2 linked regions of the Arabidopsis thaliana genome follow. The protein of the gene in region 1 purifies or fractionates together with the protein of each later gene. This does not show direct contact. Each region holds a gene or a part of one and is shown on either strand. Other genes may lie near its edges.

Evidence for each region.
Region 2: the proteins of HXK1 (region 1) and AT3G11280 purify together in Arabidopsis thaliana (affinity purification with mass spectrometry, with the first as the bait; one study listed by BioGRID). This does not show direct contact.

Annotation. Positions count from the first base shown.
Region 1 is NC_003075.7:14,351,510-14,357,045, reverse strand, and holds HXK1 (hexokinase 1), read left to right. Parts: upstream 1-1,844; 5' UTR 1,845-2,180; coding exon 2,181-2,452; intron 2,453-3,077; coding exon 3,078-3,228; intron 3,229-3,316; coding exon 3,317-3,499; intron 3,500-3,584; coding exon 3,585-3,659; intron 3,660-3,738; coding exon 3,739-3,993; intron 3,994-4,087; coding exon 4,088-4,218; intron 4,219-4,284; coding exon 4,285-4,708; 3' UTR 4,709-5,009; downstream 5,010-5,536. Other genes in the region: AT4G29120 (6-phosphogluconate dehydrogenase family protein), read right to left, coding at 5,181-5,536. UniProt on the Arabidopsis thaliana protein: Fructose and glucose phosphorylating enzyme. May be involved in the phosphorylation of glucose during the export from mitochondrion to cytosol. Acts as a sugar sensor which may regulate sugar-dependent gene repression or activation.
Region 2 is NC_003074.8:3,532,655-3,536,912, reverse strand, and holds AT3G11280 (Duplicated homeodomain-like superfamily protein), read left to right. Parts: upstream 1-1,918; 5' UTR 1,919-2,291; exon of another isoform or gene 2,292-2,517; 5' UTR 2,518-2,519; coding exon 2,520-2,923; intron 2,924-3,048; coding exon 3,049-3,436; 3' UTR 3,437-3,702; downstream 3,703-4,258. Other genes in the region: AT3G11290 (Myb/SANT-like DNA-binding domain protein), read left to right, coding at 1-481, 554-1,147.

The DNA of each region.
Region 1 (5,536 bases):
TTATGTAACCATATATACTGGAGTATTTGTTTTGAGTAATATTAAAGATAATTATGTTCAGCGGAAAAAAACTAATGTAATTAACTAAAATCAGATAATTGTTAATGATGAAAATAAGATCTGGATAAGATTTTGAGGGGTCGACATCATTAGTCTCCTCTAATTGTTGTTCGAAAATTAATGCTCAACTTTTAATGTATGTACTAATTGATTATAAACATTATATTAGTGTTTGAAATCACCTTAAATCGATAGATAGAAAAATCATTAAAGTTTTTTCACGTCTAGCATTTATCAACAACACACATCTGCAACATTTTAGCCGCTCCACAATGTAGTCCGTTCCGGTTTTTATACATGGTTCCGGTTTCATCCAAATTTTTACAGTTATTAATAGTTTATGAATACTTGAACAAAATTAAACTATAGTAAAAAAAAAAAAAAGTTTCTCTAAGATTTTGCTATTGTTCGATTAACTTTTCCACTCTGATTCTTTGGATTGGGTTCTTAACAGAAAAACAAATACGTGATGGTAATCCTCTCTCAGTTTTTACCATCGGAAAATGAATTTTTATGATGTCGTCAAATATCGAACATGCGGTAATAATCAGAGACATGCATTGCTATTAGTATTTCGTTTCCCCACCTATATTTTGGTCAAAAGCAAACGTGTGGGGGTATACATACCTTTTCTTTCATGTAATGATACATGCTTTTTATTTGTATATAAATATAATTATATTATATGATATCTAGAGTATCTAAATTTATTCAGTGATCTTCTTAATCAAAGGTTAATCATATCAAAACAACATTAGTGAACTGGATTGGGACCACTAATGAGTTGAAATAAGTTACCAGCTATTTCTTCTAATATCTGATAAATACTACTATTAGTCATAAGAACAACAATTAGAATTAATAATATTCGTAACCATAATTGAGAGTTGACTTGTAAAGAAAAAAAAAAGTTATCTGATGTACTCAGGAACTATTGCAAAAATACTATAAGAGCACAATTTAAAGATTGATTAGATTTTTTAAAAATGAGATAATGGAGAATCTAATGATGCAGAAATTGTTGTTCCCACACGGACATACAATATGATAGTGTATTACTTTTTTGATTATAATCCGTTGGAAGAAGATTTTATCAAAACATCAAAAATTTAAGACTTGTAAGACCTCTAAGAAAATAATTTAATATCATTGTTCAACATGTATATAGTGTAAGTACTAAGTACACCCTGTAACCCTATTAGTAATCTTGACTACCTTTTTTTAATAGCAAATTTGGTTGTAAATTTGCTATATTAATAATGGGCTTGGTATAGATTTTATTTTAGAAGGTCCATTACTTTCAATTGGAGTAAATGAACCGACTTTAAAGACTTTTAACTCAGGCCTTAATGTTACACAATAGAATAACATTATGACCCGGCCCAAATAAGTCGTCAGATCCAGTAAGCGTGCGACCAAACTATTTGTTTCTTACCATCGATATAAACTTTAATGATTTTATACAAATTGAATAACATATTTATACAAATTGAATAATGATATGGATAATCCCTTTTATCTAAACAAAAAGAAGTGGATAATCCACATCATATTTGTCTGTAAATTATTTGTTTTAGTTATCTACTGATAAAAACATTGTTTATCTATATTATTTTATATTATGTAGAGCCATTATCTCTTACGATTGAGCATTTTTAATCTTCTGACAGAAAAAATGCTAAGAATTAAAAGGACAAAGAAAAAAGAATGTGCAATTATCATGTGGTTGATTAGAGGTTTGAGAATGATTGGTGCTACCAGAAACTTAGGTGGAGAAAAGGATAAAAACCGAAATTAGACAAAAGGTTAATTTCGTCATTTCAACAGATTCTATTACCACTTCTTGTTTTGTTTTTCCATACTTTACGGACAAGAACGAGAGAAGCTCTCGCTTACGTGGTTTCTACACTGTTTTTGACGAACCCACCAAGCTCGAGTAGATCGGTATTAGATCCATCTTAGGTTTCTCTAATTTCTCTCAATTCACTCCAAAATTTTGATTATTTCTTCTTTCTGGCTTGTCAATTTTAGTCATTTGTAATCCTTGCTTTTGCGATCGGAATCGTAAAAATCCGATCTTTCTTTTAGATTCGTTTTGTTTTTGATTCCAAATCGGAAAAATGGGTAAAGTAGCTGTTGGAGCGACTGTTGTTTGCACGGCGGCGGTTTGTGCGGTGGCTGTTTTGGTTGTTCGACGACGGATGCAGAGCTCAGGGAAGTGGGGACGTGTTTTGGCTATCCTCAAGGCCTTTGAAGAGGATTGTGCGACTCCGATCTCGAAACTGAGACAAGTGGCTGATGCTATGACCGTTGAGATGCATGCTGGTCTTGCATCCGACGGTGGTAGCAAACTCAAGATGCTTATCAGCTACGTTGATAATCTTCCTTCCGGGTAATGTTTTCTAATTGGATTCAAATTCTGTTGCTTTTCATTGAAATTTTCAATCTTTGTCATATTAGAAGATAGAATATTTCTATCTCCTAATATGTCATCCATTCAATGTTGTTGATTGTGTAATATGGATTACGTTATGAAATGAGTTTCGTCCTGATTTGGAGATGTAATTGCATTGTCTCTTAATGGTCAAAATTGATCGATTAGATAGGATTATTGATCTACTGTTTCAGAATCAGTGAATCTTTTGGAATCCAGATCATGTCCCACTGAATCATTGTCTCATTTTCTTATAGGTTTTGTTGTATCACTTCTTGATTTTGTAGATTTGTTTTCATGGATTTGAGAGTTATTGCCCTTTTGATTAAGGTTTAATACATAGTTACATTAAGGCAGACAATGACAGTGATGTGAATATGATTTGTCTGAAAAGTCTGTCCACAGACATCACTTTTGTCTTATGGACTTCGTGATTAGATGGCATGATGGCATTGATTATGTTATATTACGTAGAACATTTTGGTGCGGTTTCATTTTCGCTTTAATATTGTTAGCCAATGCGGCAATGCGTCTAGTTTCATGTTGTAGGTCTGTCTTACATTTACTACCATTAATATAACAGGGATGAAAAGGGTCTCTTTTATGCATTGGACCTAGGGGGGACAAACTTCCGTGTCATGCGTGTGCTTCTTGGCGGGAAGCAAGAGCGTGTTGTTAAACAAGAATTCGAAGAAGTTTCGATTCCTCCTCATTTGATGACTGGTGGTTCAGATGTCAGTTTTCTGTTCTTCAATTTGTCATGTTTAGTCTTAGATGATCTTTGTGTAACAAGATTCTTTTGCGTTCTTTTGATGGATTCAGGAGTTGTTCAATTTTATAGCTGAAGCTCTTGCGAAGTTTGTCGCTACAGAATGCGAAGACTTTCATCTTCCAGAAGGTAGACAGAGGGAATTAGGTTTCACTTTCTCGTTTCCTGTTAAGCAGACTTCTCTGTCCTCTGGTAGTCTCATCAAATGGACAAAAGGCTTTTCCATCGAAGAAGCAGTTAAGCTCGATTTTCGTTCAACTATTTCACTTAAAATGTTTAGTTTTCGCCTTTGCCTTAATCTTTGTTTAACCTGTTGCATAGGTTGGACAAGATGTTGTTGGAGCACTTAATAAGGCTCTGGAAAGAGTTGGTCTTGACATGCGAATCGCAGCACTTGTGAGTTCTCTTTCGCCTTATGCTCTCTAGTGAATCCCTTTTGTCATGTGTTTGTTGATTTGTTTTTGACGTTTTACAGGTTAATGATACCGTTGGAACACTAGCCGGTGGTAGATACTATAACCCGGATGTTGTTGCTGCTGTTATTTTAGGCACTGGGACAAACGCAGCCTATGTTGAGCGTGCAACCGCGATCCCTAAATGGCATGGTCTGCTTCCAAAATCAGGAGAAATGGTTATAAACATGGAATGGGGAAACTTCAGGTCATCACATCTTCCATTAACCGAGTTTGATCACACGCTGGATTTCGAGAGTCTGAATCCAGGCGAACAGGTACGAGTTTTTAAACCCCGGTTTGTTGTTACAAAATGCCAATACCTACGAGGTGTCTCGAGAATGAGTTTCTATGTGGAATTTCATTTTGCAGATTCTTGAGAAAATCATTTCCGGTATGTACTTGGGAGAGATTTTGCGAAGAGTTCTTCTAAAGATGGCTGAAGATGCTGCTTTCTTTGGCGATACAGTCCCATCTAAGCTGAGAATACCATTCATCATTAGGTACTCTTTACTAAGTTTCATCCTTTGAGGAAGGGCTTTAGTCTAAAGTTCAACAATCATTTGCAGGACTCCTCACATGTCGGCTATGCACAACGACACTTCTCCAGACTTGAAGATTGTTGGGAGCAAGATTAAGGATATATTGGAGGTCCCTACAACTTCTCTGAAAATGAGAAAAGTTGTGATCAGTCTCTGCAACATCATAGCAACCCGAGGAGCTCGTCTCTCTGCTGCTGGAATCTATGGTATTCTGAAGAAACTGGGAAGAGATACTACTAAAGACGAGGAGGTGCAGAAATCGGTTATAGCCATGGATGGTGGATTGTTTGAGCATTACACTCAGTTTAGTGAGTGTATGGAGAGCTCACTAAAAGAGTTGCTTGGAGATGAAGCTTCAGGAAGCGTTGAAGTCACTCACTCCAATGATGGATCAGGCATTGGAGCTGCGCTTCTTGCTGCTTCTCACTCTCTCTACCTTGAAGACTCTTAAAACCTACCCAAAGAGCGCCATTTTTCGGTAATTTACTGAAAGCTTTTCGCTATCAGAAAACGCCTAAGCCAAGTTCTAAGGCGTCATAAAAGAAAGCATTCCATGTTTTTACTCTTCCCCAAGACTTTCTTTGTAGCAAATAAGTTTCCTTGGGAGAAATATTTGTTTTCATGTTCTTCAAAAATAAAAGACTCAGTTCTTCAGATTCTGGGATTTTATTATAACCAGATATGTTGTAAAAACTACAAATTCAAAGCTCACTTCACTGGAGTTCTGAGTATATAAAGATTTCATTTTTCCTCATCATTGAGTACACATAAAACTACTGTGTATGAATCTCATATGCGTACACAAAAGTTTACTTCAAATCATGTTTTACCAACAAATGGGTACACAAAAGATCAAATCTTTACTTCATAACAACATAAAATCTCCAACAGATGCATTATCAGAAAGTGGAACAGAACCTAAATCAAGAGTCAGATGATTGAACAGAGACATTGTTGAGACGTTCAAGAGCCAAGAGAAGAGCTTGAGTACCAAGATCACCTTCACCATGAGCCTTAAGAGACAAGTAAAGCTGTTGAGCAAGAGCTAAACCAGGCAAAGCCAAACCCATCCTCTGACATTCATTCAAACAAATCCCTAAATCTTTCACAAAATGATTCACATAAAAACCAGGATCAAAATCCCTCTTCAGAATCCTATCTCCATACAAATCTATAGACTTAGAACCAGCAGCACCAGTAGAAATCGCTTCAAGAAACTTCTTAACATCAAGTCCAGCTTTATGAGCATAAATCAAACCTTCCACAAGTCCTAACATAG
Region 2 (4,258 bases), on another chromosome or scaffold:
TCGGTTGAATCCTCCATCGTTCCTCGAGAAACTTGAGCTTATCTTTGAAGATAGTAACTTAGATGATGAAGGTACTTCAGGTAGCAAAAGGAAGCGAATAGCCAAGCATCGTGATGAAGATAATGATAATACTGGAGATGAAGAAGACACGCAAAGCGCTTCTAATTTCTCGAGTCCTCAGTCGAAAGGATACTGGTCACCGTCTTCACATGAGCTGTTTGTTGATTTGTTGTTCCAAGAGGCTTTAAAAGGAAACAGACCTGACTCACATTATCCAAAGGAAACTTGGAAAATGATCCTTGAGACTATCAATCAGAATACCGGTAAAAGCTTCACCAGACCGCAACTCAAGAATCATTGGGATTGCACCAGGAAATCGTGGAAGATCTGGTGTCAAGTGATTGGTGCTCCTGTCATGAAATGGGATGCAACTTCTCGAACATTTGGTGCTACTGATGAAGACTGGAAAAACTACTTGAAGGTATAAACGCTACTCGACTTTTTATATTAGTTGATTAAGTTTGCAGCTTAACATTGGTTCTTTGATTAACAGGAGAATCATAGAGCAGCACCATTCAGAAGGAAACAACTTCCTCACGCGGATAAACTAGCAACCATCTTCAAAGGACTTATAGAACCAGGAAAAGCCTATTTCCGTTCTTATCGCAGGAGAGTGCTTGATCATCATTCCGAATCACCACAGCTACATGACCCAACTCCATTATCAACACTTTACACAAACGAGCCAGTCTCAGGTAGTGAAGGTGGAGCTGATGAAGATGACAATGATGACGATGATGAGCAGCCTACTCCGCAGCACCGGAGATTTAACAGTGTTGGTTTTGCAGAGTCTCGGTTACAAGATGTTGAAATTGTAACTCCGGGATGCCACAGGTTAAAAACTGAGCTGATGAAGGAGAGTCCAGTGAGTGCATCGGTTAGGCAGTACGAGTATACCATTGGGGAATGCATTGAGTGTTTGGACTCCATGGAAGAGGTTGAGCAAGGTAGTGATCTTTACTTGTTTGCGTTGGATTTGTTTGTGAAGAAAGAGTACAGAGAGATTTTCTTGCTGTTGAAGAACTCAAGTTTGAGAATGTCTTGGCTGCTTAGACTTCGATCTGGTGGCCTTACCATTGCTGCCTAAGATCGTCATATTCTCCCAAACTTCTTCTGCTTATGTCTTATTATGCTAAACACTCTTGATTTATCTTTTGAACAGTGTGAGATGTTATATTATTAGGTTCCTTGAAAGATTTTATGACAGTCGAAATATTATAAGAGTTACTGGTTAACTTTTGTCGCAAGAAATTACTCTTGTCTCTATTGCAGATGAGAAATAAACTTCAAAGCATTCGTATCCTATCGTCTATGACTCTATGTAGCCTTCTCTTCTTCAAAATTAACTTAAGTTAAAAAACCTTGTACAGTTTGATTAGTTGATACAACCGATATACTTTTATTTGATTTTCTCTGTTTGCAGAAAGTAATTTAAAACTTATGTGAGCATCACAAGTAAAATGGAGAGATAGTGGGATTTAATGAGCTTTAGCTATTGAATCTGTCACACTTTCTAAAAATATTTTCCACCGACGCATAGATACTAAAACCAATCATCACTTAATTCCAGGTAAGAACTTAATCCTAAACAACCTCCTTAAGGAGACAAAATTAAGATATAAAAAGAGATAAATCGCGCCAGGTAGGGGTCGAACCTACGACCTTCTGCTTAGGAAACAGACGCTCTATCCACTGAGCTACAGGCGCTTTTGATTGTAATTATCAAAACATTATATTTATAACAAAACCATACAGTATGTCTCCGTGTGGACCAGAAAAAAGGCGATAGAACAAATTTGTCGTATTCCAAAGAATTAAATAATAGAATCAAATAGATCAATCAACTTTTTTTTTCTTTCTGAGAAAAATGAACCGCAAGAATCCGAGTGGAGTGGTGCCATTCGCTGTTCTCCAATCCAAATACGCCAAATCTTCCCAAAAATAAAGAAACCTTTCCTTTTCTTTCTCTTCACTCTGTTCCCATATCTACAGTGACTCTTCTCTCTCTGTATATTACTCTTCCTTCACTATCTCTCTCTCTTTACTGGGTCTTCTTCAGCTTCTGAGTCTTCTCCTCTCTCTCTATCTCTCAAGTGGGCTTTGCTTTGCTGTTTTTGTCTTCCTTCGACGACTCACTTTTGCAGATTCTCATAAATTCTTCAAAGCTTTGAGTCTTTTTTCAGATTCGAGGGTCGGTTTTATATATGCTTCAAATCTCTTACCCAAATCAGGTTCTTGATTCCCTCAGTATACGATTCTTCATTTTTCCTTCCCTTTTGTTTTTCTTCTTCTTTGATTCCTACTATATTATCATTAAACCTTATATATAAAAGCTTCCATTATTTCCTTATATCACAAATCTATCTTTTAAGCTTCCTCCACACATAGAGCAAGAAAATGGACTTTTTTGAGCTGTGTTTGTAGTTGAAACTTATTCTTCCCTTTTTTTGTTTTTAGGTATGGAGACTCTGCATCCATTCTCTCACCTACCTATCTCTGACCACCGGTTCGTTGTTCAAGAGATGGTGAGCTTACACAGCTCGAGTAGCGGTAGCTGGACTAAAGAAGAGAACAAGATGTTCGAACGAGCTCTTGCGATATACGCTGAAGACTCGCCTGATCGCTGGTTTAAAGTTGCTTCCATGATCCCTGGAAAGACTGTTTTTGATGTTATGAAGCAATATAGTAAGCTTGAAGAAGACGTTTTCGATATTGAAGCAGGACGTGTTCCCATTCCTGGTTATCCTGCAGCTTCTTCTCCCTTGGGGTTTGACACGGACATGTGTCGTAAACGGCCTAGTGGAGCTAGAGGATCTGATCAAGATCGAAAGAAAGGAGTCCCTTGGACAGAGGAAGAACACAGGTTAAGACACTCTTTCATCTCTACAGAATTCTTTCCATATAAGTCACTCTTCCTAGGTTCCTTGCAACGCAAGTCATCCCCTTTTTTCTTAGGGTTTTCAATGCTCTGTTTCTTGTTCCTTGCAGGAGATTCTTGTTAGGCCTTCTCAAGTACGGTAAAGGAGATTGGAGAAACATATCGAGAAACTTCGTGGTGTCAAAGACGCCAACGCAAGTGGCGAGCCACGCCCAAAAGTATTACCAGAGACAGCTCTCCGGAGCCAAGGACAAACGCAGGCCAAGTATCCATGACATCACAACCGGCAATCTTCTCAATGCCAATCTCAACCGTTCCTTTTCCGATCATAGAGATATTCTCCCTGATTTAGGGTTTATCGATAAGGATGATACGGAGGAGGGAGTAATATTTATGGGTCAGAATCTCTCTTCAGAAAATCTGTTTTCTCCATCACCAACTTCATTCGAAGCTGCCATTAACTTCGCCGGAGAAAATGTCTTCAGTGCCGGAGCTTAAGGCAACATAGAATCCCCAAACTCAGCGTTCTTAAGAATCTGAGTTTTGAAACTGTAATTAGAGAAATATAAGCAAAACCAAGTTTATTATATATGTATTGTGTGGTTTAAAAGTAAGAACTTGTTTTTACTCTGTATTTTTGTGTTTCTGTCTACTAAATACCTGTTATGTTAAAAAAAATCTGTGTTTTCTTTTCGATTAAATTATAGACTTATAGTTGTGAAAAAGAGTACTTGTGCTTTATGACAAGTTGATAACCCTAACAATTTACCACAATATATCTATTTTATGGTGTTAAATGCAAATTATAAAGATATACTGTAATAAAGACTTAAAGAGATTAAAAAAAAAAAAAAGACTCAAAGAGATCAAACACCACACAAAAATGAGAAATTTGTGAAACATGTTTTGGGTTAGATTTATTTAAGAAGATGGCTATAGTATAGTTTTAAATATTGAGTAAAGTTTTGGTGGAAGGTATGAAGAATTGATTTGAGTATAAAATAGAGGCTGAGTCTGCTTTCCACTTCTGACCAAAGAACCTCATTCTTCTCATCTATTACACCAACCTCCTGACTCATATATATATTAACGTATTTAGAATTACGTATAATGGTGTCATTTGTATAAAAAACATATATGAATGAAATGTTTATTTTATTTTTTAATCATTTGGTGCCCCAATCTAAACACTGCTCACATTTGAATTATGCAACTTGAAATAACTTTGATAAATTTATATTGAAACAACTTTGAAATATTATTTATCACAGTTCATATGCAAAGTTGGACCAAAGGCTACACTTAATCAAGCAATAGTTT